Linked DNA regions of Sus scrofa. The protein of the gene in region 2 interacts with the protein of the main gene of each other region in a biochemical or structural test. Links are inferred from orthologs where the notes say so. Each region holds a gene or a part of one and is shown on either strand. Other genes may lie near its edges. The genes, in order: USP16, histone H2A type 2-C, KAT2A, RNF168, RNF8, UBR2 and MYSM1.

Region 1 (3,500 bases), on a different chromosome or scaffold from region 2:
TCAGCTGAGGCCCCGTAGCACTGCCTCTTTGTACACATATTACCTCCCTGCTCCCTCACTGTTTTTCTGGCACAGTACCTGAGAACACTCCCCAATAAACCACCTACACACAAATTTCAATATCAGAATCTGTTCCCCAGAGAACATGACATATGCTAGCTAACATTCTGGTTACCCATACCATGCTTTTAGGTAATACCTTCTAAAATAAGTTCAAAGAGTTTAATAAAACCCCACATGAATCAAAATCTAAGCATACCTGATGGCCACATTTAAGACAAAGCCAAACCGAAGGATTTTCTGTTTCTTCTTCAGATTTATCTTTTACTTTATTGTCCGTCTTACAATCTTGGCAAATGTTCCATTCCACATTCACCAAAGCCTTTTTCAAATTACCTTGTTCCAGTCCTTTTCTAATGTGTCTGCATGTGGGTTCTATTAAAACAAATAATAAAGGAGGACATGAGGTAAAATATGACTTTCTTCAGTTAATCTCAAAACTTACACACTTGATTTGAACTTCAAAAATGAATTTACTCTATAAACAAATTGTTAGATAACCCAAAACCTTACATTTTTGTTTGTTTGATATTTGATTATGAGATTATGTAAGAAAGTGATTTTATACAAATTTTGAAGTCCTCCATATAACCACCACCACCCCAAATTCACTTCAATTTCTTTATCACATGCATTATTCTCTTTTATTTTAAAATGTCTGTAGAGAAGGTCCCTCATTCAACAATAGTCAATAGCACAGCCAGCGCAGGCCTGGCACTGTGGTAGATGCCCGGAAACCTAAAAGTGACCAACTCACAGCTCTTTCTTTGAGCAGCTCCATGCTGGCAGGAGAGGCAAATAAGTAAATAAATGTACAAGATGGAGTTCCCGTCGTGGCGCAGTGGTTAACAAATCCGACTAGGAACCATGAGGTTGCGGGTTCGGTCCCTGCCCTTGCTCAGTGGGTTAACGATCCGGCATTGCCATGAGCTGTGGTGTAGGTTGCAGATGCGGCTCGGATCCCGCGTTGTTGTGGCTCTGGCGTAGGCCGGTGGCTACAGCTCTGATTCAACCCCTAGCCTGGGAACCTCCATATGCCGCGGGAGCGGCCCAAGAAATAGCAACAACAACAACAACAACAAAAAAAAAAATGTACAAGAATCTCCAAAACATACTATTGTAGCCCAAAAGAAGGCTAATGTCAATGAAAGTTTCACAAGGGAGGCAATGTCTGTATAATCTTGGAAGATATTTTCAGAAATAAAAATTTATCATATTGTTTAAGCACTTAACCACAAGCCAGAAACTGTACTAAATGTTTGCACACAGTATCTCATTTACTCTGTACAACTACCCTCGAAGGAAGACACTACCATCCCAATGACAGATGAGAAAAAAACTCAAATTTATTGCTTGAGGTCACAGAGCTACTGAGTGGTTATGCTGGAATTTGGACTCAAGTCTTCTTTATTTCAAGCTCATAGTTTAAACTATGACCTCATGGGGTAAAAAACAATCGGAAGAGGCTACATCCTGCAATCAAAGGAATGAAGATATAAATGTAAAAGTGCATGCTGTCTGCTCAGAATGGCAGTCACACGTGTAAAAAGGAGCAGCTGGACTTGAGAATGAAAACCCACTAGGGTCAGATCAGTATCAGGCTTTGCAAGCCATTCTAAAGAGCTTCAGTATTTTCAGGGCCCCTAAAGGTTTAGAAACTCATCAAGTGGCACAATCAGCTTTATGCCCAACGACCTTGCACCAAAAAAATATAACTGCAAATAAGATCACGTGAAAAACTACTAAATCCTAGCAAGTAGCCAAAAAAACACAACCAGAAAAAAGAAAATACTTTTTCAACTAGCAAATCAGCAAAGATTTTTTACAAATGATGCTAACCTGTGTTAATAAGGGTTCAGGGAAATGAGCACTATGTTATCCTGCCAGGGGGCCTATCAATTAGTAACACATTTCTGGTTTTTTTTGTTTGTTTTTTGCTTTTTAGGGCTGCACCTGCAGCATATTGAAGCTCCCAGGGTAGAGGTCAAATTAGATCTACAGCTGCCAGCCTACACCACAGCCAGGGCAACTCGGGATCTGAGCCATGTCTGTGAACTACATATACCACAGCTCACAGCAACACCGGATCCTAACCCACTGAAAGAGGCCAGGGACTGAACCCACATCCTCATGGATACTGGTCATATTCGTTTCCGCTGTGCCACAATGGGAACTTCCTAGTAAAATGTTTCTAAGAACAATTTGGCAACAGATCCAAAGAGCCTTGAAATATTTATGCCATTTAATTCAGCAACTCTAATTCTTGGATATGTAAGGAGAAGATAACCAGATGTGCAGAGTTTTAGCTACAAAAAATGTGTGCTATCACTCCATTCATAACAATGAAGTTAAGACTACCTAAATTTATAACAATAGGGGATTATCTAAATAAATTATGAAATATACACTCATGGTCTTTTACATCACTGGAATAAATATCATGTTGTTAAAATGTTGCAAAGACTATTAAATGACATGTCTACACAAACATGAAGTTAAAACGCAAATTAAAGAACAATAATGTACACTTTGATCCTATTTTTACATATTAAAATATATACCATTAAAGATTTAATTGGTGAAATATACCTAAAGATTCAGAAGAATCATCAATTGGAACAGTTTTTCCCTTTGTCCGTTTCTTTCCCATGTTGGCACTTTATGGATTACTTACTGACACAAAATAACAATCTAGAAGACAAGATAAAGTTAGCTTGACAAAAAAAAAGTATGTTTCACAATTCTCTAGGAGATAGTAATATATCTAAACCACATTTTGTGTGTCTATCATACTTTTATAAGTTATAAAAACCACTCACACATGTAATCTAGTTTTCCATAAGAACTCTGAAGTAGACAGAGTATTACCTCTGTTTTTCATGGCTCAAGAAGCTGATTCTTAGTAAGATTAAGAAATCTACAATAAATGCAAAGGTCATAGGAGGCAACCTATGTCTTTTTACACAGATCTCGAAAAGTCTCAGCACTTTATACACTATTAGGAATTCAACTTCTCACTACGTAAATGTGGAATAGTGGTGGCACTTTGAAATGTAATTTCCCTTCCTTCTAAGCTATCTTTCTTAACTCTTGCAGGTAATGCAATTAGAATGATAATTTCTCAAAGAAAATTTAAAATAATTCTGAGAACAATCTCTGAGAAGGAGTTAGAAAATTTACAAAATAACTTCAAAGCCACATATAAAACACTGTGATACGCAGTGTTGCATTTTTCCACACCAGGACTTGCTATGGATGTTAGCTGAAAATTGATTACATCTACATTCTCAACCATTTACATTATTATTCTTGCCAAAATCAGTTTGGAAGACTATGACAAATCTAGTTCATATCAAATCTTCACCTCTTTGGTCAACAATTCAAAATTTAAAAACATGAAAAACATTGAAAGTACATATAAGTCCATCTAGCTTTATTAT
Region 2 (2,509 bases):
TTTTTAGCCGTAATGTCAGGACGCGGAAAGCAGGGAGGCAAAGCTCGGGCCAAGGCCAAGTCGCGCTCGTCCCGGGCAGGCCTGCAGTTCCCGGTGGGGCGAGTACACCGCCTGCTGCGCAAAGGCAACTACGCCGAGCGGGTGGGGGCCGGCGCGCCGGTGTACCTGGCGGCAGTGCTGGAGTACCTGACCGCGGAAATCCTGGAGCTGGCGGGCAACGCGGCGCGAGACAACAAGAAGACGCGTATCATCCCTCGCCATTTGCAACTAGCCGTGAGAAATGACGAAGAGCTCAACAAGTTACTGGGGGGTGTCACTATTGCCCAGGGCGGCGTCTTGCCTAATATCCAGGCAGTCTTGTTGCCCAAGAAAACGGAGAGTCACAAGCCTGGCAAGAATAAGTAATCAGGCCTGACACCATCCCCTTTCACCCCAAAGGCTCTTTTAAGAGCCACCAAAGTGTCAAATGAAGGGCTGATCACAGAATAGCGCGTTAGCTCTTTTTTTGAAAACTTGGGTGGCTCTAAAAAGAGCCTTTGGTCTTTGGTTTACTGTGTCAGGATTTATTTGCTTTTGGCTTTGTGGCTTTCGGTTTTCTTTGGTAATAGGACAGCTTGGATGTTGGGCAAGACGCCGCCCTGGGCGATGGTGACTTTGCCCAACAGCTTGTTCAGCTCCTCGTCGTTGCGGATAGCCAGCTGCAAGTGGCGGGGGATGATGCGCGTCTTCTTGTTGTCTCGCGCCGCGTTGCCCGCCAGCTCCAGAATTTCCGCGGTCAGGTACTCGAGGACCGCCGCCATGTAGACGGGCGCGCCGGCCCCCACCCGCTCGGCGTAGTTGCCTTTGCGCAGCAGGCGGTGTACTCGCCCCACCGGGAACTGTAGGCCTGCGCGGGACGAGCGTGACTTGGCTTTTGCGCGAGCCTTACCTCCCTGCTTGCCACGACCGGACATGACTGAAAAGAAGATTTAGAAGCCTAAACCCAGATTCTCGCAATAAACAAGATTGAAAGATCAGCAACTGGAAAGCCTTTATAAGCTTTCCTAGGGGTGGGGTCAGGAACGAGTTTTTCATTGGTCCTAAATTGGCTCCAGAAGTGGCCAATAAGGTCAAGCGTCGGTGTTGTTGCGTAGACATTACTGATAACGCAAGGTCTCTACACGGTCCAATGGAAACCGAAGACTTTTGGAGCCTTAATTTGCATACGGTGGTTATAAAAGGATCAGGCCCGCCCATTCTCATACTTCTTTTCTTTGCTAAACGGTGTTGTGTTCCACAATGCCTGAGCCAGCAAAATCTGCTCCCGCGCCCAAGAAGGGCTCGAAGAAAGCCGTCACCAAAGCCCAGAAGAAGGACGGCAAGAAGCGGAAGCGCAGCCGCAAGGAGAGCTATTCCATCTACGTGTACAAGGTGCTGAAGCAGGTGCACCCGGACACGGGCATCTCGTCCAAGGCCATGGGCATCATGAACTCCTTCGTCAACGACATCTTCGAGCGCATCGCGGGCGAAGCGTCCCGCCTGGCTCATTACAACAAGCGCTCGACCATCACGTCCCGGGAGATCCAGACGGCCGTGCGCCTGCTGCTGCCCGGCGAGCTGGCCAAGCACGCCGTATCCGAGGGCACCAAGGCAGTCACCAAGTACACCAGCTCCAAGTGAGTCCCTGCCGGGACGTGGCGCTCGCTCGAGTCGCCGTGCCGCTTGACTCCAAAAGGCTCTTTTCAGAGCCACCCACCTAGTCACCAGAAAAGAGCTTTGTTCACTTGTTTTCCCTCTTAGTTCCTTCTCACAAAGTAAGTTCTAGTTGGTTAAAAAGGTCTTGTAAGAAGGCATTCGTACCTTTTTAAGCTCTTCCGACTTGAGGTTTCTGGTGCGTGATTGGCTTTGCTTTTGAATGTAGGGCGCGTCTTAACTCCCTTTCTGGGCTGCTTAGCTTTACTATGAGTCAGTTCTAAATTAGGATATTGAGACTGCTCCTCCCAATCGTCTGATCCTAGACTGTTGTATCCTGGTGGCTCTGTTGGATACGTCTCGTTGGTGTTCCAAAACTGATTTCGGGCTATTCTCATTTAAGAAAGGACCCCAGAACATAACTAAGCCCAGGTCCTGCGAACACTGCGTCACAGCCCTGAAGAATTGTCCAGAGAAACTGGCAGCTGCTTGAGTGCCCGGTCGCCAGTTATGCCCTGAGATGTAGCCTCCTGTGGATACCCGCTGCTAGGGTACTTCTTGCGGAGCCCGCGCTGCCTGGTCTCAGCCTTTTCCTGATTGGACGACATGAATATTCAAAATCTCCCGCCGGCGCTCACTTGGGCCCTTTGAAATCCCTATTTCTGTTTGTGGATCATTTTTGCATTCAGTTCTCTCTTCTTGGAACGCTCCGGCCTCGGGTCACTGCAAGGCGCTGGTCGTTTTAGTCTGGGCTCAAAAGTCACCTCTTGGAGACCTTCCCAAGTCATCCACTCAGGAATTTGCGTCTCTTGTTCCTGCCTGTACTGGTCCCTCACTG
Region 3 (3,236 bases), on a different chromosome or scaffold from region 2:
GAACTGGGTGGGGGAGGGGGAACTCCACTCATCGCAGCATCTGAACCCCCAGAGACAGTGACTTCTGCACACATCAGGATCAAGGAGGCACCATGCAGACCTGTTCAGATCTGTAAAACTGGACAACTAGGGATCCTACTAGGGGGTCTGTTGTAACAATAAAGGACAGAAACCAGAATTATCACCCACCCAGCTCAGGGCTGTTGTAAAACTTATTAACTCCGCAATGTCAAGTAAAAGTTCTTCTGATGAAGGACATACAGATCCACTCAAAAGTGTTGCTGTAGGAGTTCCCATCATGGTTCAGAGGTTAACGAACCCAACTAGCATCCATGAGGACGGTTCGATCCCTGGCCTCGCTCAGTAAAGGATTTAGCATTGCCGTGAGCTGTGGTGAAAGTTGAAGACTTGGCTTGGATCCTGCATTGCTGCGACTGTGGTGTAGGCCGGCGGCTACAGCTCTGACTGGACCCCTAGCCTGGGAACCTCCATGTGCCATGGGTGCAGCCCCAAAAAAGACAAAAGACAAAAAAAAAAGTGTTACTATAATCTGAAGAGGAGTTCCTGTCGTGGCTCAGTGGTTAATGAATCTGACTAGGAACCATGAGGTTGCAGGTTCGATCCCTGATCCCTGCCCTTGCTCAGTGGGTTAAGGATCCGGCGTTGCCATGAGCTGTGGTATAGGTCACAGACTCAGCTCAGATCCTGTGTTGCTGCAGCTGTGGTGTAGGCCGGTGGGTACAGCTCCGATTTGACCCCTAGCCTGAGAACCTCCATATGTCGTGGGAGTGGCCCGAGAAAAGGCAAAAAAAAATAATAATAAATTAAATAAATCCGAAGAGTTCTTATCACAAAGAAAGAATATTTTTTCTATTCCTTTAATTTTGTATCTATATGAGATGATGGACGTTCACTAAACTTACTGTGGTAATCATTTCAAAACGCATATGACTCAAATCACCATGCTGCACACCCTAAACTCACACAGTCCTATGGGTCAGTTTTACCTCAAAAATACTATGAGGGGAGTTCCCGTCGTGGCGCAGTGGTTAACGAATCCGACTAGAAACCATGAGGTTGCAGGTTCGGTCCCTGCCCTTGTTCAGTGGGTTAACGATCCGGCGTTGCCGTGAGCTGTGGCGTAGGTCGCAGACGCGGCTCGGATCCTGCGTTGCTGTGGTTCTGGCGTAGGCGGGTGGCTACAGCTCCGATTCAACCCCTAGCCTGGGAACCTCCATATGCTGCGGGAGCAGCCCAAGAAATAGCAACAACAACAACAACAACAACAAAATACTATGAGGGAGTTCCCGATGTGGCTCAGTGGGTTAAGAAACAGGCTAGGATCCATGAGGATGAGGGTTTGAACCCTGGCCTCGCTCATTGGGTTAAGGATCTGGCATTGGCACAAGCTGCAGTGTAGGCCGGCAGCTGTAGCTCTGTCCAGCCCCTAGCCTGGGAACTTCTGTATGTCGCAGGTGTGGCCCTAAAAAAAAAAAAAGAAAAGAAAAGAAAAAAGAAAGGAAAAAAAAAACCCAACTAGAAGGAAACAGAAGTGTAACTGATTCTTGGGCTCCATTTGTCAACGGGTGTTTCCTTGATTCCGTCATCAACCACAACTGCCACCTTGTGGGAGGGTGAGGAACTGCCTGGCCATTAAAGGAGGGTGGGATGACGGGATCCAGATGAAGAAGCAGGTGGTGGGATGGAGCTGGGGCCAGGGGCATGGACTCACCTTGACCTGCTCATTTGAGGTGACAGCACAGAAGACAATCTCCGTGAAGCCCTGGGTGGGAAACATGCGGAAGCAGATCCCACCAATGACTCGCCCGTCCTTGATCAAGGCCAGAGTCTTGTGCTTCCTGAAGGGAGAGGTGTCAGGTCACAGGCCCTACCTGACCCCAGATACTCCCCAGGACCCCGCAGCTCTGGAGGCCTGAGCTATACTCAGTGCTGGGAACTAAGGAGCAAAACGTGCCCAGGGTTGGAGAGAGGAGTGTGTGTGTGTCTGCGCGCGTGCGTGCATGCACGAGTGCAGTGGAGAAGCCTAAGCGGAGGTGCCTGGGCATGGCAGCGCTGGGCTCTCCTGGGGACGTACGGGTCAAAGACGAGGCGGGCGATATACTCCTTGGGCATGCGCGGCAGCTGGTGCGAGAAGACATTCTGCAGCCCCACCAGCCACAGCAACACCCGCCGGTTGGCCTTGGGCGTGAGCGAGTTGCCGATGACGTGGAACTCGATGATGCCACGGCGCTCCTCCAGGCGGGCCGTCTCGTCCCGGGCTGCATTGGCCGACAGCAGGCTCGTCTGGGCGCCAGAGGAGGGGCGGTAAGCAGGGGGCTCAGGTGGCGAGGCCCCCTCCCCGACCGGTCAGGAAGCCAGGCGGCCCACCTCGGGCCCCAGCATGGCAGCAGGATCCGTGATAGTGAGCATGACCTCGTTGACCAGCTCCATGGGGATGTCGCCCATCACACGGAGCCGCTTGGCATCCTCCAGGGTCAGGTTCTCGGGGAGCTTCCTCTTCTCGCCTGCTGAGGAGGTTGACAAGGTCTCCCGGGGAGAGCAGAAGTTGGGGGAGGGGGGGACGAGGACGGAGGTCAGGGGTCAAGTACCCACCTGGCATGGGCTCGGCTCCTGCGGAGTCCAGGCTCAAGGAGCTGTTGCCACCCCCACCCATGGTGGGGCTGAAGATGGGGGCGCTGGGAACAACCGCGGCACTGACTGTAGCTGAGACACGAAAAAACCAGAGGATGGAGAGCGAAGGCGCTGGCGCATCTTGCAAAGGGAGGTGGACTCTCCCACCCACGGCCGAGCCCTCCCGTGCTTCCCCACTGCCGCCACGCACAGCCCCTCCTCCACAGAGGCGGGGAGGGCCAAGCCGAGAGCCTGCGGAGCCCGGCCGGCCGCACACGGCACATACCCGGCCGGGGCACCATCTGGGTTCCCTCCGAGGGCGGCATGGTGAAGCCCGACTCCCAGATCGGAGAGTTTGCCCCGTAGATCTCCTCCTCCAGCATGGACAGGAATCTGGCGGGGGAGAGGCACAGTCTGTCCCACAGCTCCATCCTCCAACCAAGGGAGCAGCCTGGGACAGACACTGGAGGGACTGGAGGCTGCCCTCAGGGAACTGGCGCCTAAGAACAGAGACGGCCTCTGCCTTCAGATGAGGAGGCACAGCCCCCTGCAATTTCTGGGAGCCCCTCACTGAAGGGAGGGCAACAGAATGATCCAGATCAGAA
Region 4 (4,023 bases), on a different chromosome or scaffold from region 2:
CAGGCACAGCAAGAAGAAACTGGGACCCCACTGCCCTCATTACAGCCCACTCATAGGGCAAAAAAAGTTCTAGAAGAGTCAAGGAGACCAGAACTAGCATGCCTATGCACTGACCTGTTCCAACAAAGAGAAATAAGCTGTAGTCTCTGCTTCCAGCTAGAGAGCAGTGGCTCAGATGTTTTGCCCAGGGAAAAAAGGCAGGCAGTAAGAACTGAGAGCTCCAAAGATTTCCCTCAAAGACACTGACTTCACAATGAACAGAATATGGATTAGCCCAAGTCTAAAGGCACTCGTGAAAACAATGGCAATTTTAATGGTAAACACTAGCCAGGCAGTTCCTCACAAAGCTAAACATAGAATTACCATATGATCCAGCAATTCCACTCCTAGATATGTACACAAAAGAAATGAAAACACATTCAAACACTTGCACATGAATATTCATATCAGTACTATTGAAATAGCCAAAAGGTGGAAACTACCCAAATGTCCAACAATGGATGAAGGAACAAAATACAATATATCCATAGAGTAGAATATTATTCAGCCATAAAAAGGGATGGAGTACTGATAAAGATAGAACGCGGTAGACTTCCCGTTGCAGCTCAGTGGGTTAACAACTCGAGTAGTATCTATGAGGATTCAGGTTCGATCCTTGGCCTCACTCAGTGGGTTAAAGGAGCTGATGTTGCCACAAGCTGTGGAGTAGGTTGCAGATGCAGTTTGGATCCAGCATTGCTCCGGCTGTGGCTGTGGCACAGGCAGGCGGCTGCAGCTCTGATTCAACCCATAGCTTGGGAACTTCCATATACCACAGGTTTGGCCCTTTAAAAAAAAGAAAAGGAAAAGAAAAGAAAAGGAAAAGAGAAAGAAAGAAAGAAAGAAAGAAAGAAAGAAAGAAAGAAAAAGAAGGCGGCATGAAACATTATGCTAAGTGAAAGAAAACAGACACAACAGATCATTCGCTGTATGAATACACTTACATAAATTATCTAGAACAAGCAAATTCACAGAGATTAGAAACTCCGAAAAGCAGGAGTGGGATGGAGTAAGGAGAATGGGATGCTTAATGGTTAAAGAAGTTGTCTGGTGTGATGAAAGTTTTGGCAACAGTGGTGACAGTTTCCAAACACTGTGAAAGTAATTAATGACACTGAATTGTACACTTAAAAATGGTTAAAATGGCAAATTTTACCATAATAAAAAGAATTCCCAAAAAAAGCAAGTACACCAGAGCATCCACATCACATTTAAGCCTGGAGAAGAAACACTGCAGGGCTTAATGACCACATAAGTGGTCAAGCCGCTAAAGTCTGGGGGCAAAATGAAGAGTTGTTAAGTCCACACTGTGGAGGGCTTTGAATAAAAATGACTGAACTAGAGGAAACTGGCCACAGAAAGCTATTTTAGGCTTGTTGAAAGCTTAAGAACTAAATGAATGGAGATGTATAGGCAAGAAAGTTAGAGAAAAGTAACTGAAAATAAAAAAAATATTAACACAGGAATCCAGCAGTTTCCTTACTTCTGCTGCTGCCATACTGACTGTTGCTCATCTGTGACTATTTATATAACTTTCGACACAATTTAAGACCCTAGTAGGTAATTCTTTTGTTTCTTTTTTTTTTTTTTGGTTTTCTTTTCATTTTTAACCCAACAAACACCGACCAAACTAAGCCTATGCCTTAAAACAATGAACCAAATCTTGCCATTGTGACCTTAACCAACATTTTAGGGCCCATTAAACTCAAAGATGTGAAAAATTTGGACAAATACTAACCCAGATTTTCTTTTTTTATCCTTGAAAAAAAAAAAAAAGACTAGTGATGATTCGCTTTTTAAAAGATTTTGGTTTTTAGACAATGAACAAGCTGGATTTTTACTCACCAATTTCCTCTGATTCTTGCCCAGAGGCTCTAAGCTTGCATTCTTTTGGATAGTGTTTCTGAATTATCTTCCACAGTTCCATGTTGACAAGAGAATTTGTTCGGGTGCGGTGTCGAGTCCACGAAGAGACTCGGCGGCGACAGAAGGGGCAGCACAAATTTGCTTTTTCGACAGTCGACTGGAAGCATGGTTTACACAGCGTGTGGTTACAAGGGAGTGTCACAGGCTCAAATAGAATTTCCACACAGATCTGGCACTGGCATTCCGACAATGAAGGGATGGCGTCCTTGGGTACAGCCATTTTAATATGCTAAAAAGGCATATTCAATCAACATCAACACCTGAAAGAGAAAGAATCCTCATCTACAGCCCAAGTTCGGAGAAAGCGAATTAAGTTTTGTGTTTAAATTTTATGCCCAGTAGCCTACCAGAATTCAGAGACTGGGAACATCAAATGTCTTTAAAGCAAAAAAGTGTTCTGAGGGTCAGGTAAACAGTACGACCGTGGAAGGAAGTGTGTTTGTCCATGTTAAGACAAACGTCCGAAATGAAAACAAATGAACCTTGACTGCTCCCAGCATTAACAGCCGTTGCGGCAGGGCGGATGGTGGGCTCTCTGGCCCCCGCAGGAGGCACGCGCCAAGTTCCCCTCCTTTCTCTTACCAGGTGAGGATGCTCCCGTAGCTCCCGGAAGCCAAGCCGCAGACCGCAGAGGCGCGCAGCTACGCAGCCACCGCTAGAGGAAGAACGCTTCTTCCGCCCGGACGAGGAGCTCCGAAGGAGTAGGACTTCCGTTTTACCATTGTCGGGGGCCGCGCGCGAGCCCTTCCGGGCGCTCTGAGCCCGCCCCTCCCTCTCTTCCATCTACCCAAAAGCCTAACCTTGGCGCGGTGCTGTAGCAACCCGACAAGGGCTAGTGACGTCACGACTGCCCGCCAAAACAGCCCCTCCCACCTAGAGAACCAACCAAAGGTAGAGAGGGCTAACATTGGGGCGGGACTTCCGAGTCTGCGCGCGCTGCCCGACCCGAGCCCCGCGCCCCGCCCCCCCAGAGCTGGTCTTCTCGGTGTGTTGCAGTCCTTTCTTCGCAGACCCTGCGTCGTCACATTGACTGCACTTTAGTATTTCCCTCTTGATTTCTGCTCCCAGAGGCTGCAGAAATCAGGGTATGTCGCAAGGTTGGTCTCTTGTCAGAAAAAGTGAAACTTAAAGGCAAATTAAAAGCCGATGGAGTTCCCGCTGTGGCGCAGTGCTTTAAGGGTCCGGTTTGCCGCGGAGGCTAGTTTGATCCTTGGCCCTGTGCAGTGGGTTGGGGATCCCAGATTGCTGAAGCTGCTGCATAGTTCTTACCTGTGGCTTGGATTCGATCCGTGGTCCTGTCACTCTTCTGTGCAGTGGGTGCGCCCCCCCCAAAAAAGCTTGACAATAATTTTTAAATTCTTCCCTTAGTACTCCTCAAACTACCCTTGTTTCTTTTCATTTGTAAGGAAGCCTCTTAGGTCGCTTTCCAGAGTTCTTGTAAAAGCATCTCTAGGATGATTTCTGAGAAAGGCTGTGGTCAAAGAATCTGCAAACTTGCTACAATTTAACAGGTACTTGGGAAACAAACTGTAGGACTGGCAGGATCCTGGGGCTTAGCCAACATGTGCATCAATTATAAGGCACTGCTTTATTGTTTAATTTCAGTCTAGACCAATCAAAATTACAAAAGAAGTCAAAAGGAAAATATTTTAACTTTATGCATTTTGAAATGTTTTCCCACTTGGTTTTGTTAAGGCAGCTGCTCAACAGCCCTGCGCTGCAGCGTATCAGCTCTAGCGACAGCCCTGTGGCTGCAGTGTTTCAGCTCTTTTACCCAGGGAGAAACCAAGTGAGCACTGGGAAAGTTGGAGAATTCACGTTTATTATGCCGGCAGGCTCAGAGGAGATTGCTCTCCAGAGTCTGAGCCCGGAAGAAGTCTTTCACAAAGTTTTTATGGGCTACCTCTTCTGAGCTCCTGCTTGGCGGACCAGAGTGAGGTCAGGCAAGGTAGTAGATGCGGAAGCAAGCTTACTGCAGCAGATGCGTGAGGGAGGGGTGGTTAGGGGCAGGTGGCTGGACTTTGCTTAGTCATCATGACGGGGGGGGGGGGGGTGTCT
Region 5 (3,500 bases), on a different chromosome or scaffold from region 2:
ATTTCTGGTCCTCCTCAAAGTGGCTGTTATCTACTGAAGGACTAGGAGAAAGCATGCAGTAGGCAGATGATCTTGTTCTTAGCAGTGTGGCTTTTAAACCTTCAACTTCACACACACGAACATGGGTTCCCAACAGTCAGATGGTGGGAAGCACCTGGAAGGGAGGTGAACTTTTATTTATTTTTGTCTTTTTAGGGCTGCCAGCTAGGGGTCTAATCGGAGCTGTTGCTGCGGCCTACACCACAACCACAGCAACACAGGATCTGAGCCATGTCTGCGACCTACACCATAGCTCACGGCAACACTGGATCCTTAACCCACTGAGAGAGGCTGATGATCGAACCTGGCTCCTGATGGATACTAGTTGGGTTTGTTACCACTAAGCCACAGTGGGAATCCCACTGGGTTTTTAAAGGGACTGAACATGATAATCAGATCCATCCTGCCTCCAGGCACTCTTCCCCACCCAGTAACCAATCCTTCTGATCCACTAGCTTCCTTGTGCTTTGCCCCAGGAGACACATTCTTCTGCCACAGCGACATTCAAGTCTCATGCAGAGTGGCTCTGCAACCCTCAGCAGTGCAGGCGCCAGATGTGATGACCTCACTTAGTTAAATGAGCAGATAGTCACTACACAAATATGGTTACTTGAGGAAACTCACCCGCTCCTTCCCTAAACTCTTTATCCAAACTCTCTGCCTGGGAAACTTGTTGGTAAATATATTAGGATGTCCAAAGTTAACACAGTAGGATTAAACTGATTTCTTTTTGATTAATATTATGCCTAATTTGTGTAATCAAGCTGTGACTCTTACTGTGAATCTAAATATGTTTTCCTCACATTTCTTGGCATTCTCCAAGGTGTGAGTCTTTTACGCGTACACATCCTATTTATAATTTATTATACACCCAAGGTTTTTAATGACACATGGACAGCAACTAAACTGTCTTGAACAACAGCACCATCTAGTGACCAGCACAGCAAACTGTTTTCTAATCACATCTTTATGCCAGCAACCAAGACATGTACACCCAAGCCATACCATTCCCTGCTGCTCAAATAATAGTTTATTCTACCTCAACTCTTACACATTCACTATCTTTAACTTGCTTTACTTTCCCCCATTTCTTCCAATTCTCACTTAGCTCAAGAATCTTTAAACAAAACAAAACAAAAGAATCATTTATGTTGACTCCTCTCCATCCAAAAAAATCATCCTAAGCCTTTGGTTGAGGGGACTCACCTCTTGTTCAGACCCACTCACCTTTTCGTTCCTTGATGAGAACAACTCGTCGTTCTTTCACTTCTGAGCTCAGATTATCTACCATCTTATTAATGCAATTGTCCAGAACCAGGGAGTGTGTTTTGGACTTGATGTCCTTCCGACAAATGGGGCATTCTACCTTCCGCTTCATCCACTCATTGATACAGAAGGAGCAGAAACTATGGGCACAGTTCAAGGTGACAGCCTAGAATGGGAAGGTGAACACACACATCAGAACTGTCATGGTTACTTCCCCAGGGCCGTTGTGATCCTTGAACTAAGACAGAAGTGAATTCCCAAGGCCAAATGGAAATTTAATCACAGCCTCATCCAGGGGGTTTACAAAGGGTATCAGAATCATTCCTAGGAATGGGAAATTTTAAGCTTCATGTTAGATGATTCATTTTTCTCTCTCAAAGTTAAGTTCCTAGACTTGGCTTCCAGGTAGGCTGATTTGCCTATTCTGTTCCAAACTCAGGTATCTCATGCTGCCAACATGTACCAGCTACTGTGCAAAAAAATGTCACCAGACATAAGAACACTGGTAAGCCTGTGAGTGTTTGGTATAAATACACCGTTAATTCTCTCATGAAAAACAAATGTACATCCTAATGGGGAATTACAAACTCAATTTTAATAGATGCAAGAGAAAAGAGAACTTAAGCTGGGAAAAAAGGAACTAAAAATGGGGGTGAAATGTAATGGGTTCAACTGAGAGTGCCTTAAGTAAAAAAGCCTATGAGAAGAGAGAAAGCAGAAGCAAGTCTGAATCTGAGCAGCTCCTCTGAGGAACCCCAATGATCAGCTAGTTCTGCCCAGGCTCTTTTCACTCCCCCAATATAAGCCATTCTTTGCATTACTCCCTTTTATGTATACCTCCTAAGAAACAACTTTTTCTGAGGCTCAAAAATCTCATTCTGGCTTTCAGGACAGCAGCAGAAAATAACACAGAAATTACGTATTTTCCAAATGCCAAGTTGAGACCAGAAAGCCAACTAGGAGAAGTTCTCAGTAAAGAATGAGATCAATTCTCATAAACAGCACTAAAAACCTGCATGATTAAAATGAAACCTCTTGCAGTTCCTGTTGTGACGCACTGGGAAACGAATCTGACTAGGAACCATGAGGTTGCAGGTTCGATCCCTGGCCTCGCTCAGTGGGTTGAGGATCCAGCATTGCTGTGAGCTGTGGTGTAGGTTGCATACAGTGCTTGGAGCCTGTGTTGCTATGCCTCTGGTGAAGGCTGGCAGCAACAGCTGCAATCAGACCCCTAGCCTGGGAACCTCCATATGCCACGGGTATGGCCCTAAAAAGACAAAAAAAAAAAAAAAAAAAGAAACCTCTTCCCAATACTGACTTTTTTTTTTTTTTTTTTTGTCTTTTCTAGGGCCACACCCATGGTATACGGAGGTTCCCAGGCTAGCGGTCTAATCAGAGCTGTAACGCCGGCCTACACCACAGCCACAGCAATGAGGGATCCGAGCCATGTCTGCGACCTACACCACAGCTCATGGCAATACCAGATCCTTAACCCACTGAGTGAGACCAGGGATCAAACCCAAAGCCTCATGGTTCCTAGTCAGATTCGTTAACCACTGAGTCATGACGGGAACTCCCCAACACGGACTTTAAGAGATGATCAGCAGAAATGGTCAGGCACACCTGCAAATCAAACCCAGGTCAAGTTCTCTCTTCTTCATGCTGTACAGATGCTCTCAATTACCTAACTTAGCACCCATTCCAATCCCTCTTGTCTTCCTCTATTAGAGCCCATAAGCCCCAACAAAACAACACTAACTGAGTTTCTCCAAAGTAGGAAATCAAATGACTAGAAATTGGGGGAAATGACGATCTGAGTCAAAGTGGATCTAAAGCAAAAGAACCAGGTCTATCCAGGAGAGACTTTTCAGGAGGCTACCACACTGCGTCTCCCTAGAGACCACTAGAAAAAAAGCAGCAGTGTGTGTATGAGATCTCTTTTTCAAAGGAGTCTGCCTGGAGTTCCTTCATGGCCCATCGGGGGTTAAGGATCTGGCATTGTCACTGCTGTGGCGCTGGTTTGATCGCTGGCCCAAGAACTTCTGCATGCCATGGGTATGGCCAAAAAAATTCAAAAAGGAATCTGAAAAGCACTCCTTTTTTATTTATTTAACAACTTGAGTCTAACACCTGTGGTGTTAAGATGAATGGGTCACAAATGAGAAATAGTGAAAAAAAAAAAAGTCTGTGCAGAA
Region 6 (3,500 bases), on a different chromosome or scaffold from region 2:
CACAACTTAAAAGCTAAAGGAATGGGGATGTGACAAAGGCCTAAATAAACATTAAAATCATGATGCCCTGGTGATTTAGTGGGTTACGGATCCCGTGTTGTCCCTGCTCTGGTGTGGATTCAGTCCCTGGCCTGGGAATTTATGTACGCCATGGGTATGGCCAAGAAAAAAAAATCATGATGTCATCCACAGCCCACATCACTAGATCTTATGAATGGAAGAAAGGACAGAAGAAGGGGGCAAGTGCTGGGTTCTAATGTGGATTTTCTTTCTGTTGGGTGAGAAGCGCCTCCTCTCAACTGAGTCAATCCTAGGCAAGAAGTGTTAAGGTCATCCTTTCAGAGAAAGGGGTTCTTCACCACCACCCCAGAGAGGAAACAGTGAGTATGGCTTCTGCATCCCCACATACTTTAGCTGAAAGTCTGGATTTTTTTTTTTTTTTTTCAGTCTTTTTGCCTTTTCTAGGGCCGCTCCTGTGGCATATGGAGGTTCCCAGGCTAGGGATCTAATCGGAGCTATAGCCACAGGTCTACGCCAGAGTCACAGCAACGCAGGATCCTAGCCATGTCTGTGACCTACACCACAGCTCATGGCAACGCTGGATCCTTAACCACTGAGCAAGGCCAGGGATCGAACCCGCAACCTCATGGTTCCTAGTCAGATTCATTAACCACTGCGCCATGACGGGAACTCCTGGATTTCTGACCTTCCTCTTGTGTAGAGTGTGCAAAGCTAAGCAGAACGGAAATTTTAGATGCAGTTCAAGAAAACTGAGTGAAAAGGTTACTTGCATTGGCTAAAAAAATCCAAGAACATCTTACTATTCATTTGTCCCTTAGCCTAACCTCAGAGAGGCTCTGTATTTATTTCTCTACCAAATCGGTCCTCACTCTGCGTACCCAAGCTCACAGCACACGTCACGTGTATCACACAGGAGTGGTGTGTGATGTGTCATGGTTATAAGCTATTTTACTAAGCGGCTATCACTCTAGGAAGGCACCTCTTAGTAAGAACAATAATGTTTTAAAATAATAAAAAACCTGGGCACACAGGCTGTCCCAGGAATGTACTAAGTGAGCCAGCAGGTAAACAGCAATTCATCTATCCCAGGAGGTGCTGGAAGGGGTGGGGGTGGGGGAATTTTCCTTTTCTTTTGCTAGTGTTTGATTCTAGATGCACACACTCTCTCAACTTAGTCTCAGAAATAAGAGAATACATTGTCTGAAAAATTATGATACTCTAAGTTTTCAAAAAGCCCTTTGAAATGAGTTTTTTCCCCTCAAAGCCAAAAATCCTACAAAAATCCAAACTTACAAAGCCCTGAAAATCATCCAGCACAGAGAGACACCACCTCCTCCCCTTCCATGCACAGGCTCCACCGGCACGAGTCCCCCCCCAACCCTCCCCCCTCACAGCTTCTGGAGGCAAGGAAATGCCACTTTCAAAGTCCACTGCTTTGCTTAGAGGTAGGGTCCCGTCAGCTGTGGGGACACTGACCCAGTCCCAACGTTGACAGTCACTGAGAGGGACTAAGAAGTGTGACCCCAAGAGACCAGAGACTTTGTTTCCTGCTGCTGTTGAATCAGCTTCAGGCCTGGAGTCCCGGGTGCTCAAGAAGTAGACACGGCTCAGACGACCGGGAACAGCCAAACGCAGTCAGAGGCCCACAGAGGGGCTGTGTCCAGCCCAGGAAGAGAAGCTCCTTGCTGGATTCTAAAATTCAAGAAGTTTGAGGGACACGAGCAAATGATGCAAGAAAATCTGCTGACAGATGATTTTCATCAATCCCTGGAGCCAGAAACTATAAAAATAAAACTGGGAAGAAAAGCTTAAATAAAGACTTTATTTCCAAATTCAGTAGAACCTATTTCCTATTCTCTTTCTTGAAAAGCCGACTGGGTTACAAAATCCAAGTTTGTGTTTTGGTAGTGAAGTAATTATAAATGTTGCCAGTCAATGCCAACCAGTGTCTGATTTGCTTCCTGTGCATGTCCAATTTCCTCTGTGATACTGTGCTGGTGCCAGAGCTTCTGAATCTTCTTAAATCGCTCTTTGCACAAATGTAAAGGATTGCCCCGTCTAGAAAGAAGACACATGTCACTCAGGATGCATTCGGTTCATTCATCTATTATATGCCAACCTTTCCTGATTTAGGAAAAGTTACAAGTTACTGGTCTTCTGCAGATCCTCTGCAAAATTTCTCTTTGGCAGGCGTCTGTGGCTATGAATATGTTAGCTCTGAAGGTTTGCTAGGAACAGCTGAAGGGGAATAAATTCTGAAAAGAGGAAATCGAACACAAGCCACACTTACTCAGATTAGGGTCTGGGACCAGCGGAGTAGGGTTGAGCAGGAGGGTCTAGGTTGAGAGGCTATAAAACTACCCACTCATGGTCCATTTTATTGGAAAAATAGAAAACAGGGAGGGGTAGGGGAGAGGATGGAAGAATTACAGGGATAAAGATGTTCCTTCAAGTACCTTCTTTCAGCTACAAAGCAGCTGAATGTGAACAACTTCAGGGTCTAATGTAACCAGAGCACAGGCCCTGGCGAGTCCCCAGCTGGGAGCGCCAGTGCTCTCACTCTCTGGCTGGGGCTCTTCTTCCTGAGAGCCCATCCTCCTCACAGCAGCAGGATGAACCATTAGCAGGTGGCACAAGCAGTATCCTTGCAGTCAAGCGTCTGGGGAGCCCATCTACTTATCTTGTCTTGGTTTCCCGGCCTTTAACTTCCACTCCCCAAAGCTGGACTTTTACCCACTTTGAGCAAAAAGAAATGGTCTGAAAATTTTTTAATAATACTTGAGGAATTGCTGTTAGCAGAAATTTTTTTTTTTTTTTTTTTTTTTTTTTTTTTTTTTTTTTTTTTAGGGCTGCACTCGCAGCATGTGGAGGATCCCAGGCAAGGGATTGAATCAGAACTACAGCTACTGGCCTATGCCACAGCCATGTAGGATCCAAGCCACAGCTCACGGCAACACCGGATCCTTAACCCACTGGGCGAGGCCAGGGATGGAACCCACAACCTCATGGTTCCTAGTCAGATTTGTTTCTGCTGTGCCACGATGGGAACTCCTAGCAGAACTGCTTTTGATGTAATAGCAGCTACCAGAGTGAAAGTGATTAAGCCTCAAGTATTGCTGTATTGCTCTGTATGTTCTAAATCAAATGCATCTCTTATCAATTAAGATTTGTTCTTCTGTATCACTTGAAGAGTGCTGGCCCTCCCACACAAAGCCACAGAAGCTACAAGGAGCTATTCCTGCAATGCTCCGATGCTATGGATGCCACAGGACAATCAGAATAGCTCTTTGGAGTGAAAAACAAAAAAACTTCACTCTGCCCCATTTCCTCCCCTCCTTATTATCCTGATGGCCCTCGTGACATTCTAAGAGTTGGGAATGGGACTGCCAAACCAGATAGCCAGAGTGACCTCCTTGACAGAGTCCACAGACTGCAGCCAGCTGTGCTCACCCCCCAGGGGGTTATTTAGCAGGCACACC
Region 7 (3,500 bases), on a different chromosome or scaffold from region 2:
AGAGTTTAGTGAGACGGGCTAAGGAGATAAATTACACTGAGAGACGAAAGTGACCATGAAGGCAAGAACACAAATAGAGCAACTAATAATAAATGACATGGGGGGGAGGGGGCGTGGTAGTTCTGAGGTCTTTACCAAAGAGAGGGCATCTAAATGGTATCATTAAAAATGAAGAAATTAATTTGTTAAACATTAGTTTATTACCTACTTTATGCCAGGCCCTGTGCTAGAAACTGAGGATAGAAAAAGAAGTATAGTGTATCTACCTTTAAGGAGCTCAGGAGCTAATGGGGGAAAGTATAACGTAGAGTGACAGTATTCAGAGACAGCAGTGACCCAGAGCAGAGGTATTAAGGATGAAGACAATATGCTAGAGATGCTATTGTTTCTTACGCCCCCTCTACTTTTCCTGGTCTGCTACATTAACTCTCTATCCAGCCAGAGTTGACTAGACCAGAAGTGGGTATAAATCCCAAAGGAACCAAGTCATATGATGGGCTGAACCAACCAAATTATTTCTTGAGATAGAATGGAAACTAAGAGATATAAAAATAATTAGGCACTGTTGAGCCTACACTGGGAGGTCAAGGAGAGCTGGTGATAGGGTGGTCATTATTCTTTGTATTTTTTTCATTTCAATGCCATCACAGAGAAAGCCAGTCTGCCTTTATCAAAAAATTTTAAAAGAACAGAGATTTTGTCTTTTTTTTTTTTTTTTTTTTAACTGCAATGTCTCCAAGGCCATAAATAAGTTTTCTCTATGTCGTAATCCTTTTGCCCAGTGGCCATGGTAACAGTGGGGACTTGAATATAGAAGGAAATCCTAAAAGGAAAGCAGGTGGCTATACTACATGGTATCCAAGCAGTGATGCTCCAGCTGAGGACACAAACTTTTCCATAAAATTGCTTTGCATAGTGATTCAAAAAAAGGAAGGCAGAAGTAGGATAAAGTTGAAGTTGTTTTTGTTGAAAACTTACGGTAAGAGCCATCTGCGCTAACTTCATCACTTATAACAAGGCAGGTAATCTGAGAATAAGGTAAAGGATTATTTCGATTATAGGGACTAACAATCATTCCAATGAACTTTGCACCGCCTCTGGAGAAGTAACTCTACAATTTAAAAAAAGTGTAATTAGTTTCAACTACATACATTTACAAGTTAGTATTTACCCATACTAACATTTTAAACATCTAATAGAAGAAAAGGGAATGCAAAGATGTGTTAAAAAATTCACTTCCAAACAGCAACGAAATTAAGCATCTTTTATATTCATTTTGTACCCTAAATTTTTCAGGCCAAAACATGTTCAAACCAACTTGAAAAGATCACCATTAAAAAGATCACCTGGGAGTTCCCGTCATGGCACAGTGGTTAACGAATCCGACTAGGAACCATAAGGTTGCAAGGTTCAAACCCTGGCCTTGCTCAGTGGGTTAAGGATCTGGCATTGCCATGAGCTGTGGTGTACGTCACAGACGCAGTGTAGGCTGGCAGCAACAGCTTCGATTAGACCCCTAGCCTGGGAACCTCCATATGCCGTGGATGTGGCCCTAAAAAGACAAAAATAAATAAATAAATAAGTAAATAAATAAAACAAAAAAAGATTGCCTGGCCTGCAAGATCTATATTTGGCATCAATACAGTTACAAATCATATTCACTACCCCTCAGCTGTAATCTTTATCAATGTGGTAATAATTTATAAACAGCTGCCTGTGGGAAAAACATCCTAATATCCAATACAAAATGCAGAACAAAACAAAATCTTGTTTCTTCCAAAGATGCAAAATATATTATATTCCCAAATTATTTCAATTCTACCCAGTCCCTGTACCAGTCATTCCCATTATTTTTGAAGGCTCTGGAAGGAATTACCACTGTTATTTTGATGGCCTGTGTGTATTAAGGTAGCTAATTTTTTAAATTTAAACAAACACAATTACTCTTGAGAGAATGTGAGAATATGCAATTATTTACAGACTACATACACAAAGACCTATAAACACACCTGGTATTTGGCTTGAGTGTCAATATCTCGTAAGGAAGGATTAGGATCAAAGGCAGGATGAGAATGATACCATCCAATAACACTATAGCCCCTGACAGCCAAGGTTTCCGAGGCTTGTGTCTGTGAGACAGGATCCATCTCACACTGCAGTCCTGTACTCAGACTGTTACATGGTTCTGCTGCACAGACCTATAAAGGATTAATCCTTAAATGATTACACTTTTACTTTATTGTTTTAGTCCTTTCATACACAGATAAGAAACTTTCATTTGCCTATATCACTGGCAGCCTTTAACTGCAAATGAATTACTCTCCAAAACTGGGGCCGTATGCTAGGAATTCAAAATCCATTTTTCTACCTAAACAAATTAAGAATGTACATATCTGTACATTCTTTTGATGACCCCAATAATTTATGATGATAATTTCTAGCAAATGATATAGAGCAAGTTTCAACTATAAGGTTAGCATAGCCTCTTAGCAGCTGAAGTTTTTTATTGTGAAGGCCAACAAGGAACCAAGGCCTGGCAGCATTTCCTTTTCTTGGTGGTAAAAGGAAACAGATGCTCATTACACAGAATGTCCACCCACCTCTGGGAATATATAACTTTCCACATTTGCATATTCTCATTTATATCATAAACTCTGTATGTTAGTTATATGCACTTAAATCTATAAAAATATTTGGTATGGCAGGACTAAATAATTCTTAAAATTTTAAGAAAAAAACTTACTTCAACTATCCTATCAACTTCTGAGTATCTTCCTCCTAACAGACCAATCACTTCTGCCATAGATACATGAGCATGCTAGAAGAAATACAAAACAGACTCAACTCAAACACAGAGATAAAACCCACCTGAAGAAAAATCAAAATCCCACTTATCATAGGAGAGTAATTTACAATAGCAGTAATTACTTTTTTCTAAAGTAGAGTAGCAGAGTAGAGGAACCAGATGCTAGGCTCAGCATACTAAGGCTTAAGATTTTAGATCTATTTTCACTGCTGGCTAAGAAACTTTGAACCAAACACTAAAACCCTCCAAGATGCCATTTCTTTCATTTACAAAATGAAAATAACATTTATTTTCTCTACTGAGGAAAGGTATCATAAGGATACAAAGAAAAATCACTCTGGGTCCTCCTATGGAAAAACATCATGAACACACACACACAACTATTGGAGGTCTCAGTGTTTTAGCACAAAACGAGAAGCCTCCAAATGCTAAGAGTTGTTCTCTTTGTTGCAGTTATCTAGAAGGCAGCAGACAAGAATACTAGGAGATTAAAATAGGGTTAATGGAATAAACAGTCTGCAAAAACTCACATTAATTTATTTTCTCTAAAATATGGAAACATGCAATTGTTTGGCTTTTCTCCAAAAGAAAAGACTTATTTTTAGATTCCTTGTAAAAGAGGATAGTTAAGATCCAAAATACACGTCTTCCATACTCTCTCTTATGCCTGCAATAAAAATACACAAGAATAGAA

What was found.
Region 1: of the proteins of histone H2A type 2-C (region 2) and USP16, one has a biochemical effect on the other in vitro, tested with the Homo sapiens proteins (2 studies listed by BioGRID). The link is inferred for Sus scrofa from reciprocal best matches to the Homo sapiens genes H2AC20 and USP16.
Region 3: of the proteins of histone H2A type 2-C (region 2) and KAT2A, one has a biochemical effect on the other in vitro, tested with the Homo sapiens proteins (2 studies listed by BioGRID). The link is inferred for Sus scrofa from reciprocal best matches to the Homo sapiens genes H2AC20 and KAT2A.
Region 4: of the proteins of histone H2A type 2-C (region 2) and RNF168, one has a biochemical effect on the other in vitro, tested with the Homo sapiens proteins (4 studies listed by BioGRID, with this or other methods). The link is inferred for Sus scrofa from reciprocal best matches to the Homo sapiens genes H2AC20 and RNF168.
Region 5: of the proteins of histone H2A type 2-C (region 2) and RNF8, one has a biochemical effect on the other in vitro, tested with the Homo sapiens proteins (2 studies listed by BioGRID). The link is inferred for Sus scrofa from reciprocal best matches to the Homo sapiens genes H2AC20 and RNF8.
Region 6: the proteins of histone H2A type 2-C (region 2) and UBR2 form a complex in vitro, tested with the Homo sapiens proteins (2 studies listed by BioGRID, with this or other methods). The link is inferred for Sus scrofa from reciprocal best matches to the Homo sapiens genes H2AC20 and UBR2.
Region 7: of the proteins of histone H2A type 2-C (region 2) and MYSM1, one has a biochemical effect on the other in vitro, tested with the Homo sapiens proteins (2 studies listed by BioGRID). The link is inferred for Sus scrofa from reciprocal best matches to the Homo sapiens genes H2AC20 and MYSM1.

Annotation. Positions count from the first base shown.
Region 1 is NC_010455.5:192,379,882-192,383,381, reverse strand, and holds part of USP16 (ubiquitin carboxyl-terminal hydrolase 16), read right to left. Parts: exon of another isoform or gene 2,752-3,500; 5' UTR 2,711-2,751; coding exon 2,650-2,710; intron 436-2,649; coding exon 260-435; intron 1-259. UniProt on the Homo sapiens protein: Specifically deubiquitinates 'Lys-120' of histone H2A (H2AK119Ub), a specific tag for epigenetic transcriptional repression, thereby acting as a coactivator.
Region 2 is NC_010446.5:99,168,243-99,170,751, forward strand, and holds histone H2A type 2-C, read right to left. Parts: upstream 1,029-2,509; 5' UTR 954-1,028; coding exon 564-953; 3' UTR 501-563; downstream 1-500. Other genes in the region: histone H2A type 2-B, read left to right, coding at 13-405; histone H2B type 2-E, read left to right, coding at 1,279-1,659. UniProt on the Homo sapiens protein: Core component of nucleosome. Nucleosomes wrap and compact DNA into chromatin, limiting DNA accessibility to the cellular machineries which require DNA as a template.
Region 3 is NC_010454.4:20,641,493-20,644,728, reverse strand, and holds part of KAT2A (histone acetyltransferase KAT2A), read right to left. Parts: intron 3,025-3,236; coding exon 2,918-3,024; intron 2,725-2,917; coding exon 2,614-2,724; intron 2,529-2,613; coding exon 2,389-2,528; intron 2,305-2,388; coding exon 2,096-2,304; intron 1,860-2,095; coding exon 1,733-1,859; intron 1-1,732. UniProt on the Homo sapiens protein: Protein lysine acyltransferase that can act as a acetyltransferase, glutaryltransferase, succinyltransferase or malonyltransferase, depending on the context.
Region 4 is NC_010455.5:133,624,323-133,628,345, reverse strand, and holds the start of RNF168 (E3 ubiquitin-protein ligase RNF168), read right to left. Parts: upstream 2,801-4,023; 5' UTR 2,548-2,800; exon of another isoform or gene 2,313-2,547; intron 2,226-2,312; 5' UTR 2,186-2,225; coding exon 1,885-2,185; intron 1-1,884. UniProt on the Homo sapiens protein: E3 ubiquitin-protein ligase required for accumulation of repair proteins to sites of DNA damage. Acts with UBE2N/UBC13 to amplify the RNF8-dependent histone ubiquitination.
Region 5 is NC_010449.5:32,959,312-32,962,811, reverse strand, and holds part of RNF8 (E3 ubiquitin-protein ligase RNF8), read right to left. Parts: intron 1,472-3,500; coding exon 1,267-1,471; intron 155-1,266; coding exon 108-154; 3' UTR 1-107. UniProt on the Homo sapiens protein: E3 ubiquitin-protein ligase that plays a key role in DNA damage signaling via 2 distinct roles: by mediating the 'Lys-63'-linked ubiquitination of histones H2A and H2AX and promoting the recruitment of DNA repair proteins at double-strand breaks (DSBs) sites, and by catalyzing 'Lys-48'-linked ubiquitination to remove target proteins from DNA damage sites.
Region 6 is NC_010449.5:37,781,308-37,784,807, reverse strand, and holds part of UBR2 (E3 ubiquitin-protein ligase UBR2), read right to left. Parts: intron 2,277-3,500; coding exon of another isoform or gene 2,222-2,276; exon of another isoform or gene 2,080-2,221; coding exon 1,938-2,079; 3' UTR 1-1,937. UniProt on the Homo sapiens protein: E3 ubiquitin-protein ligase which is a component of the N-end rule pathway.
Region 7 is NC_010448.4:153,783,240-153,786,739, reverse strand, and holds part of MYSM1 (histone H2A deubiquitinase MYSM1), read right to left. Parts: intron 3,474-3,500; exon of another isoform or gene 3,337-3,473; intron 2,819-3,336; coding exon 2,744-2,818; intron 2,199-2,743; coding exon 2,010-2,198; intron 1,112-2,009; coding exon 979-1,111; intron 1-978. UniProt on the Homo sapiens protein: Metalloprotease with deubiquitinase activity that plays important regulator roles in hematopoietic stem cell function, blood cell production and immune response.